2 linked regions of the Sus scrofa genome follow. The protein of the gene in region 1 purifies or fractionates together with the protein of each later gene. This does not show direct contact. Links are inferred from orthologs where the notes say so. Each region holds a gene or a part of one and is shown on either strand. Other genes may lie near its edges.

What was found. The genes of interacting proteins can lie anywhere in the genome.
Region 2: the proteins of EIF4E (region 1) and HHEX purify together in Homo sapiens (affinity purification with western blotting; 3 studies listed by BioGRID and IntAct, with this or other methods). This does not show direct contact. The link is inferred for Sus scrofa from reciprocal best matches to the Homo sapiens genes EIF4E and HHEX.

What each region holds. Positions count from the first base shown.
Region 1 is NC_010450.4:121,436,973-121,442,224, reverse strand, and holds part of EIF4E (eukaryotic translation initiation factor 4E), read right to left. Parts: intron 1,690-5,252; coding exon 1,583-1,689; intron 1-1,582. UniProt on the Homo sapiens protein: Acts in the cytoplasm to initiate and regulate protein synthesis and is required in the nucleus for export of a subset of mRNAs from the nucleus to the cytoplasm which promotes processes such as RNA capping, processing and splicing.
Region 2 is NC_010456.5:104,192,421-104,198,398, reverse strand, and holds the start of HHEX (hematopoietically-expressed homeobox protein HHEX), read right to left. Parts: upstream 3,976-5,978; 5' UTR 3,939-3,975; coding exon 3,578-3,938; intron 1,504-3,577; coding exon 1,325-1,503; intron 1,144-1,324; coding exon 1,093-1,143; intron 1-1,092. UniProt on the Homo sapiens protein: Recognizes the DNA sequence 5'-ATTAA-3'. Transcriptional repressor. Activator of WNT-mediated transcription in conjunction with CTNNB1.

The DNA of each region.
Region 1 (5,252 bases):
AGGGTCAAATTGGACTTACAGTTGCTGGCCTACACCACAGCCATAGAAATGAGGGATTCGAGTGGCATCTGTGACCTTCACCACAGCTCACGGCAACACCAGATCCCCGACCCACTGAGCAAGGCCGGGGACTGAACCCACATCCTCATAGATACTAGTTGGGTTTGTTTCCACTGCATCACAAACGGAACTCCAGACTTGTGGGATCTTACGTAAAGAGAGTAAAAGGCCTGGTGGTGGGGAGGAAATGAAAGGAGCTGTAGTACTTAAGAAGCCTCAGAAGTTAATTCCAATTTACTTTCCTCCAGATTCTTACAATGTTTCTGAGTTGCCATTTTCTTTCCACCATCAGCTCTCAGTGACTTCAGTTAATTTTCATTACATAAACCAGAAAGAAAATTAAATAAAAACACATACTGGGAAGTGGCAGGGTGGAGACAGAGAAAACCATATACTGAACTATATTACAATGTAACTATGAAAATTTACCTCACCTTAAACTCTCTTTTCTTCTCTTAACTTCTCTTAAATAAAAACTGACCCACCTCCAGACTCCATAGCTCTCTTTCCTCCTTCACAGGCTAACCTGAAACCATCTATTCCTGCTGTAAACATTAGTATACTTTCTATTCACTCTTCAAAGTACTCCAATCTTATTCCACCTACTAAACTTTCTCCAACACTAGCAAGGATTTGGCCTTCAATCCAATGAATATTTGACTCTTTTGTGGCACTGAAGTTATTGACCATCTTTTCCTTAAAAAAAAAAAATAATTTTCCTGACCAGCACACTCTGTCCTACTTTATACAGTTTATATGTCTATACCCTTTATAGGCATTTTTGCTCAAAAAAACCCCTATGTGGGAGTTCCCATCATGGCTCAGTGGTTAACAAATCCGACTAGGAACCATGAGGTTGTGGGTTCAATCCCTGGCCTTGCTCAGTGGGTTAAGGATCTGGCATTGCCATGAGCTGTGGTGTAGGTTGCAGACATGGCTCGGATCTGGCGTTGCTGTGGCTGTGGTGTAGGCCGGTGGCTACAGCTCCTATTAGACCCCTAGCTTGGGAACCTCCACATGCCTCGGGTTAGTTAAAAGAAAAGACAGAAAGACAGAAGGAAAAAAAAACAAAAAAAAAAAACCCTATGTGGAGTTCCCCTTGTGGCTCAGTGCGTTAAGGATCCAGCCTTGTCATCAATGTGGCTCTGGTCACAATTGTGGCTCAGGTTTGATCCCTGGCCTGAGAACTTCCACGTGCTGTGGGTGCAGCCAAACTGCCCCCCCACCCGCCGATGTGCTAATATTCTAAGCCTCCGTTGTGAGTCAAGTTCACTTAAGAGAACTTATTTACTACTGTGGTTTCAGTTACCAATAACCAGTGAATTTCAAACCAATACTTCAAAGTCCTACTTTCTGAGCTCAAGATTCACAAATAAAACTACTTGGTAAACATGGGTCATCCAAATGAAAATGGAATCGACCTATCTAAAACTATTCTCATCTAATCTTTCCCTCCAAACCTGTCCCATTCACCATTTACTTTGTTGCCTAAGTCAGAAAACCTACTTGTCAAAAAACTTACCTGTTTTGTAAAGGATGTTTAATATAGTGTTCTGGGTTAGCAACCTCCTGATTAGATTCTGTTTTCTCTTCTTCTGTAGGCGGGGGATTAGGAGTAGGGGTGGTTTCCTGTTGGAAAATAATTAAACATTATAAATTTTTTAACGTGAATAAATTTCTTAATTTATATGACAGCAATAACTCTAAATAAATTTGAACCAATATTGTCCATATCATTTTTTTAAGGAGAAGGAATTACAGCAAAAGCTTTTGATTAAACAGACAATCTCTAAAGAAAGCATTACTAAAAAGACAAAAAAAAAAAAAGGCACCAGACCATTCTGGCATCTCTCCACTGAGATGCAAAGAGTTTAGTTTCTCTAATTCAAAAATATAATGATAGTATTTTTCATATACTGTTATCTTCTTACACATTTTAATATCAGAAAAATTGTGATAGGAGTTCCCGTCGTGGCTCAGTGGTTAATGAATCCCACTAGGAACCAGGAGGTTGTAGGTTCGATCCCTGGCCTTGCTCAGTGGGTTAGCGATCCGGTGTTGCCGTTGAGCTAGCTGTGGCGTGGGTCAAAGACTCGGCTCGGATCCCGCATGGCTGTGGCTCTGGAGTAGGCCGGTGGCTACAGCTCTGATTAGACCCCTAGCCTGGGAACCTCCATAGGCCGCGGGAGCAGCCCAAGAAAATGGCAAAAAGACAAAAAATAAATAAATAAATAAAAAGATTGTGAGAGACCATGCAAAAAAGTTGGGAAAATCAGGTATCTTTCTTAACATACAATTAAAGTGCTATGCATGCTTTCTGGGGAGGGGGTTTAAGTTTGGAAGTGCAACTAATTATATTACAATGACTTAAAAAAAAAAAAAAAAACTTTATCAAGCCAGTACTACACAGGTCCTTGCCTTCATGTTATACCGTTATGACACATGGTAACTTAAAAGTTCAGCAACTTCTTTCTCAATTTGCCCTAAGGAAAAAAGCTAGACATTGGCTTGAACTTAAATCTTCTTCTAGGTTACACATAATACTGTCATCTAAAAATGTCAAGAAAAAAAAGAAACGTGGGAATAAGACATGTTCTCCACATCACTCCACGTAGTTCTTTAACCTATTTTAAGCTGGTATCAACAAAAAGGTGGTTAAGAAAAGGGCTGAAACAAAAGCTGATACAAAAAACGGGGGCACTGCAACAAGGGTGTGGATATCAGATTCAAATCAAGCCAGCAAAACAATAGATACACTGTCACATTAACAACACTAAGCAAATCAGAGATGTATAATCTAAAAACAGCCCTCAGGGAGTTCCCGTCAGGGCTCAATGGTTAACGTATCCGACTAGGAACCATGAGCTTCGGGTTCAATCCCTGGCCTCAATCAGTGGATTAAGGATTTGGGGTTGCCATGAGCTGTGGTGTAGATCGCAGACGGGGCTCGGATCCCGAGTTGCTGTGGCTCTGGTGTAGTCTGGCGGCTACAGCTCCAATTGGACGCCTAGCCTGGGAACCTCCATATACCACAGGTGTGGCCCTAGAAAAAGACAAAAAAATAAATAAATAAATAAAAAGAAGAAAATAAAAAAAGACCTCAAACAAAAACAAAAGACCTCAGAGAAGACACATTTTATAAAATACATTTTTCTTATCAACAAGACACTTCCAGGAACTACTTTTTCACTATCCTATAAAGTCAGTCATAGCAGGGGCTTTATCTTGATTTTGCTCACAATTGTAATGTCAATGATCACAATGCTACACTCAACAGAAACTTAACTGAATAAACTTAAATGTTTACTGAAGACTAGTTAAGGCCCTAAAATTTACATATAGTAGTAGCCAATGCCTTAAAATTAGCAACCATTTGTACAAGCATTTTCTCATCACAATTTAAGTCTTCAAGTAGATGGTCATTACCAAATAGCATTCCTTACTCTACTAGCTTAAAATTAATGATGGTCTCCACACAGAGGCAGTCTGAATGAATAGAGACAATAAGGAACAGTAAGGGACTGACAAGGCAGGTGGATTTGGGGAACAGGGTCCCAGAGAAAAGTAAACTGTAGAGAGAAATTCAAAAACACATGGGGGGGTAAAAAAAAACCCCACAAATCCTTGGCTGTGACTTAGTCCTAAACTGAGATGTTCAGAGTGCAATTCTGGGTGGTCTACCAGAGAACAGCTAAGCCAAGATTTCAGAGGATGAACAGCATTAGGAAGACCAAGTTCAGACCTAGCCAGAGTGGATGGTTGAAAATCCTCAGGTTTCAGATGAAATCCTAGAAAGGTCATGTCCTAGGAATTAGGTGAAATACACATACCTAACAGATTCTAAAACTAATCCTTGGCAGGATCAAGGCAATCTATTGCTAACTGTCTTCAAGAACAAAACTCTACACTCTTCAGAGGAAAAACATAATCCTGAGGCTCTATGAATATTATTCGTAAGACCTAACAAACAATCAAATTACTAGACATGCAAATAATGTTTTGTTTTGTTTTGTTTTTACCAGCAACTAATGATGAAGAGATTAGGAGTTCCTTGATGGCCTAGCAGTTAATAATCTGGCATTGTCACTACTATGGTGTAGGTTTGATCCCTGGCCAGGAACTTCCCACAACATGGGTTCAGCCAAGAAAAAAATATATATATCACTTCCAAAGGAACAATAAGAATAACTGGTAGCGTCTCAACAGAAATTTTGGAAGCCACAAGACAACAGAATAACATCTCAATGCTGAAAGAAAAAACTGTCAACTTAGAATTAAGTGCCTAGGAAAAGTTATTCTCCAGAAATAGAGAAATAAGGAAACATTTGCACAACACCAGAAAGTCCAAAAAGAGGAACACTAAAGAAAGTCTCAGGTTAGAGGGAAAAGCTCCCGGATGAAAGCATGGAAGTACAAAAAGAATGAAAAGCGCAGGAAAAGTTAAGAAATACTGCCAATTCTCTTATTTAACTAAAAGACATACTCATAAGCTCAAGATTCTCATGGCAAACTACTCTTTCACAGCATTTGTTTACATCTTTACCTCAGCAGCACATAAAAAACAGCTCCTGCATACTGCCCCCCGAGTACAAATTTTCTCAGGTCATATATTGCTATGGCCATCTACTTATTGCAACAATCCATTCTTAATCAGTAGAAATTGTACACCAAAAAGTTTACCATCAATCATTCACTCTGTATGCATCTTAATTCTGCAATTATGTTGTAAATATACAAAATATATTTTTAAAAATTCACAAAGGAAATTTTTTGAGACTATTGACAAAGGCCTCATTACAAAATCATTTCGGTAATTTCTCTCAACTTATTATTAAAACCTCTTGACTCTGATACAAATAATCAAGATGCTTTCTTCATTATTTTCAACTTAGATAAAGCAAAAGTAATAGCCATGTAGGATGTTCTTTTAAACTCTCAGGTTAATCCATGGCAGTTGGCTATTCTATAGGTAAATTCCAATCCCTTATCTTTGGAATTTATGGTAACATACAATGAGAAGTACTTTCCCGAAAGATGGCCATGATGCATTAAATTTTTCGATCAAAAATGACCTTTTAGGGAGTTCCTCTCGTGGCTCATTGGCAACAAGCCCAACTAGTATCTACGAGGACTCAAGTTCCATCCCTGGCCTCGCTCAGTGGGTTAAGGATCCAGCACTGCCATGAGATGTG
Region 2 (5,978 bases), on another chromosome or scaffold:
CCAAGAACTAAATAAGTTTTTAATCCTATTTTTGTATAAAATGCACATAAACACCATAAGGAAATATGATATACTGCTAAAGCGAGACCATAAGAAAAATAGATTTAACAAGTTTACAACCACGTGGCAAGTAGAGGCATAAGGTCAAATACTGAGAGGGAATTTGAAATTTTTAAGACTGTGTTACAGTAATGAAATTATGGGAATTTTATTTTCTGTTTCAAAGTGTTCTCTGTGACACCACCTTATTGCTTTTAATGAAAAAATTATGATCACTAAATTCTAAAATGCAGTGTTCAATTTCCCCACTCATATTGTTACAAAAATATTTTGTTTATTATAAACTGTATATACGCTGGCAAATGAAAAACTCAGCAAGTGTCAGATAATTTTGCAGAAGACATCCAGATTAGGACATCAAAACCAAATCTTTAGCTTTAAGTCAACAGAGCTTCTTTAAAAACTGAATTAGCCTTTACTTTTTATCACAAATTGCGTAACAAGGTCATTGGAAGAAAAGACTGTTAGAAAATTTAAGCTACTTTCCAAACATGCTTGGATATTCTCTTACTGTTTTTATACTCATCTTAAGAGCTAGAATTAGAGAGAAAATTATTTTTTAACCCTTTGATATTTAATTCTTCTAAAAACAGTGCAAACAAGACTTAAAGGTGTTTATTTCCTTATATTTACCCTTGAGCTCTGCCTGGTTTTATTATGGCTGTGTAAATAAAAGAAACAATTTTCTCCCAAAGATAACTGCTTAAGTCATTTACTGTCAATTACTTTATCTTTCCTGCGTTAATTAGATAAACAACATATGGGGTTTATAAAACAATTAGCTGGGAGTTTTACTAGCCAGTGTGTGAAAACCCAAGCATAATTGATATAGGAACTGCATTAGGTGCTTTTAGCATTACTGCCGCCTGAACAACTCATCCTGAATTTCAGCAGGACTATTTGCCTTTTTAATCAAGGTGAAGAGGTTAAATAGTCCCTTAAATGACTTTTGCATACAACCTATAACAGGCCTCGCATTGTGATAACATGATAAAAATATTTATTTCCATAGAAACAGAACCATGTCAATACCTGTTTTAGTCTTCTCCATTTAGCGCGACGATTCTGAAACCAGGTTTTGACCTACAGGAGAGACAGAAAGAAAACTTGCCATGAGCCCAAAGGGACCTGGGGAGGAGGTGAGCCAAGCGGTTCAGGGAGCAGACTCGCGCTCCAGGAGCCAGTGCCCCCCCGCGGCTCCAAATCTCACTCCGGCCCCCGATCCCTCCCCCAGGAGTCTCCCCAGGCCCCTGAGCGAGCTCACCTGCCTCTCGCTAAGCTGTAGCATCTTGGCCAGACGCTTCCTCTCAGGCGGGGAAAGGTATTTCTGGGTCTCAAACTTCTTCTCCAGCTCAATGGTCTGGTCATTGGAGAACCTAACCTGGCCGCCTTTCCTTTTATGCAGAGGCCTCTGAAGGAAGGGGCTCCAGAGCAGGGGTTTGCCTGTGGGCAAGAGTGGCTATTAGAAAGGACCCTGTAGCGGCCTGACCCACTTCAGACTTGTCTGGCCCTGAGAGTGACAAAGAGAAGGAAGGGAGCCTGGAGGACCCGCTACCAGATACACCGACATATACAGACCCAGAGATACAGGAACACCCAAAGTCACACGCCTACACTGCCTATGCACATAGATCACACTGTACACTCCCAGACACACACAACCATCACGCCCATAGCTAAATATAACCGTTTTGATTCCCAGAAGAACATCGACTATAAATTGAGCTTAAAATCACCATGATCTTTTTAACCAGTCGCTCTCAGAATTTATACACAACTTTTTGCTCCTCTGGGCCCTCTCTCTTGGGGGAGCGCACTTTCCAAAGATCAAGTGGGTGTTACGTTGAGGAGGAGCGGGTTTGTCGCACTAGTCAGGCGCGTTGCTGCCGGGGCGGCGCCGGGACCAGGAGACCACCTCCAGGGTGCGAGGGAAACCCTCCCGCCCGGGCGCGGGCTTCAGGGCGCGCGCGCGTAGCTTTCAATCCTGCCTGGAGGGCGCCGCGGCCTTCTCTGATTTCACACCCGGCTCGTGGGGGCGGCCAGTAAAAGCCACCCCGTGGGCTATGGCAACATTTCCGTCAATGTGTTTCCTGTTGGTCTATCTCGAAAAACCCTTTGCTTCCTCCTGCACAGTCCCAGCAGTAACCCAAGGAAACCCAGGGCGCGCTCAGTGAAAATGCTCGCCCCCAGGTCCGGCCCAACCCGGCTGAGAGTCCGCCTTCAGCCCCAGCAGGCGAAGAGAGTGACGACAGGCCTGTGGCACCAAACCCTCGAAGGCGGGATCAAAAACACAATATAATAACTCTAAAAAAAAAAAATCCTAAAATATAAACTCCCCCAAATCTCTGTAGCAAAGTAGAAAAGTGGAGCGCTAGGGGCTGCACCATAATAATGACATTACAAAGTCAATTAATTGAAATGTTAGTTGTCTGCCGGGTGCCTGCAGAAGCTGCTGATAACAGAGGTTAGATTTAAAACCTTGGTGACCCAAGGCAAGGAGCCCGGTTTTATTTACCCCAGGCTTCAGATGCCAGAGGCGCCAAGGGCCACCCGGAGCGTGGATCACGCTTATTTCTTTGGCCATGTACTGAGGGGACAAGTCCTGTAAACTCTATATGGCCAACGTGTCCGCGCTGCCCTTCCTACTCCAAAGACGTGTCGGTCAGTCCGTCCGTCCATGGGTCTGCAAGGCCTGCGCTACACGCTTTGAAAGCTGGCATTGTTTTTTCGAGATTTTGCTTACGTCAGGATTCAGACCGGTTCAAAACAGCCTCAAAAAAAAAAAAAAGGAAGCAACTGGTTATTTTAGCTGCCATAAAGTCACATCCCACACAGAGGAAATGAACAATATCAGAAAAACGGATCCCGGCTATCAGAAGTCGAGTGTTTCCTGAATTTGTCTGTATTGAGGATGTCGATAAAATAATCAGCAGCGTGCACTACTCCGGGGGAAGGGTCTGCTTCATGCAGCCAGGAAAACACTTAACAGCTTCTGAAACCAGATTTACTCCTATCGAGAACTCAAGATTTCCTGTATGAACGGAAAGGGTCAGGCTCTTTCACTGCACAAGCTTGTTGAACTAGGTCCAGCCCCGTAACCACCCGGCCCGGGAACTACCCTTGCCCCGCACGAGTGGCCTGGGGGGCCTTGGCACTCCCTTCCCAGTCCCCCCAGCTCAGGGAGCCCCACCCGGGCGACACGGGCCCCCAGGACTCCTTCGTCCGTCGGCCCTGGCGGCAGCGCCCGAGGTCTGGCCGGGGCCTGCTTGCCCCGACGCCTGCAAGGTGCAGGAAAACCAATCTGAGTCACAGTGCGGTCAGTCTGGGCCGCGCGCCGCCGGGGCCCGCGCCTCCCGTTCCCCGCGCGCGCCCGACAGCCGCTTTTCAATCGCTTTTGCCACAACTTTCTATTGCCTCCCCCTCCGCCCCCGCCGCCTCCTGGGCGCTGCCACCTGCCGGGTGGCGCCTTCCTCTCCGCCGCCCCGGCTCGGCCCCGCCATGACCCCGGCCGCCTTACCCAGGGGGTCGTGGCGGATCAGGGCGTGCGTGTAGTCATTCACCGACCGCGGGAAGGGGTACAGAGGGCCCCCGAAGCCGCTGGGTCCGTAGGCGGCGGCCAGCGCGGCAGCGGAGTGGTGCGAGAAGGCGGGGTGGATCGGCGTGGGCTCGTACACCGGGGTCCGGTAGGAGGACACGAGGCTGGTGAAGGAGGAGTTGGGGGACGGCAGCGTGGGCGTGGGGGTGGGCGCGGCGGGCCCGCGACCCAGAATGTCCTCGATGTAGAACGGCGTCGGGTGCGCAGGCTGCAGCAACGGCGTGGGCGCGTACAGCGGCACCCCCACGGCGCCAGCTGGGGGACCGGGGTGCGGGTACTGCATGGCTCTGCCGCGCTCCGGCCCCTCGGAGAGCTGCCGGCCCGCGCCGCGGCGCTACATTTATCCGCGCTCCGCGCTCCCGGCGATAGGCTCTGTCGGCCGCGGGGTGGGGCCGGGCACTCTGGCCCCTTCCTGCCGCCAGGCCCTGCGGCCAATGGCGCGGAGCCCCGGGAGCCGCCTCCCGCCCCCACCTTTGGCCCGCCCCCGTCGGCTGAGCTCCCCGCCCTCGGGACCAGCCCGCTTCCAGCCTCCGAGGACCCTGCGCCCCCGTGCCCAGCTGCCCGCACGCTCGGGGCTCCAGGCACCCCGGCCCGTGACGCCCTCGAAAGAAGTCCGGGACACCCTCGAAGGAAGCCCAGGGCCGCGTCCGTCGAGCGAGGCGTGAGGCAAGCAGCTGCCTGGAAGGCGGATTCAAGCGGCTGTAGCCCCGGTGGGAACACACCTCCACCGAAACCCGGGTGCACTGGTCGGAGCCCGGACCTGGGGTGGCTGCAGCTGCCCCAGGGAAGGGACGGCTGGACTCGGGCTCTGCAGGCGTAGAGGTCACTGGCAGGACTGCGGCTTCGCAGGCCCGAGAGCACCCTCCCTGGTCGGCGCGCTCCCTGGAGTAACGGTGGCACAGGCTGTTGCCCCGGGCGTCTAGGGGAGCTCGCGGTGGGAGAGAGTGCCTTGGGATCCTGGGGCAGCTCCAACGAGAGAGATCCACGGCCCTTGCCTGCCCAGTGGGGTAAGGATAACTAGACTTCAGGTGTTCTGGACTCTTGGCCTCTCTACCTTGTTTCACTTGTGGTCCCCGGGACTCAGCCACTTCCCGGGGACGCTGGCAGAAGTCCCTTCCGGCAGGAATTAAGGGAAGGCCTGAGTCCTACGGCGTCAGCCAAAAGCTGTGCGATTTTCTCCGACCCATTAGGAGCTGCTCCTGGTCCCCTATCCCCGGGTCCAGGGGGATCACAGCTGCGCGCAGCCCCGCTTTTGCCGTTTTGCACGTGTTTTCTATTGAAGCCTTGACGCTACCCGGTGTGGCTTCGGTTCTGTGCAGCTCCACTCGCCTGCGGGGCAAGGGGGCATTTTCTTGATTGACGCCCTCCTGCGGTAGTCACACCTCGCGGTGAGCGGTTTCTGCTAAGGTCCTCCATGAACCGTGGAAATGAGAGGACTTCCCGGCTTTTTCTATTCAGCGTTTTTATTTGCCTCTTGGAATTATTTCTCCGACTGCAGCAGAACGGCAGTAGGAAGAGTGGGCTGGAAGCCGGATGGCCTGGATTCAAGTTTAAGTCTGCACTTTTTTGTTGAGCACCTACTGTGTGCCAGCAGTGTACAAGACAGATTTTGTTCCTGTCCTCGAAGTGGCTGGAAACAAATTTAATACAGTGACTTATGTATGTGCTAGGAAGAAGTATGTGATGTTTGAAAAATGAGTAGGTGTGAAGGAGCCTAGAGAGGGACTAACACTTCAAACCCAGGGAATAACATGTGAGAGTAGTCAATACAGCTTTTCAAGTTGGGTTCCCTGAGTTTTTCTCATCTGAAACATTTAAGACTTTAAACATTTCTAATCCTTTTGAATTCAGGTCATAGGCATCTATCAGAATCTGATGACAGACCAGAGCTACAAACACAGACAAACACAGCACGTATAATATGCTGTCATTTGGGTTAAAACTTTGGTAGAGGGCAAGAATATTTATCTGTGCTTATGCTCTATTTTATAAACCATCTCTGTAAGGATAGACAAAAAACTTATAACGTTGGCTGTCTATGAAGAGAGAGGTGGAGTAGGGAAAAGAATGTACTGTACACTTTGTGACTATCTGGAGAATTGAACCGTGTGGATGTGGGACCTATTCATAGTATAAGCTGGTCCTTGAAAGAGTGGCTGGTTCTAGGTCTGGGGCAGGAAAAGTACAAGGTGAGCTCAAGGCATCTTGTGCCAGAAATCACGAGAGGAAACAGGAACTGGCTTGAAGGGGCTTCCATTGGCCCAATTTGGGGTAATTGTAGGCATCGAAACACATTATGGATTATGAGATCATAGAATCATTA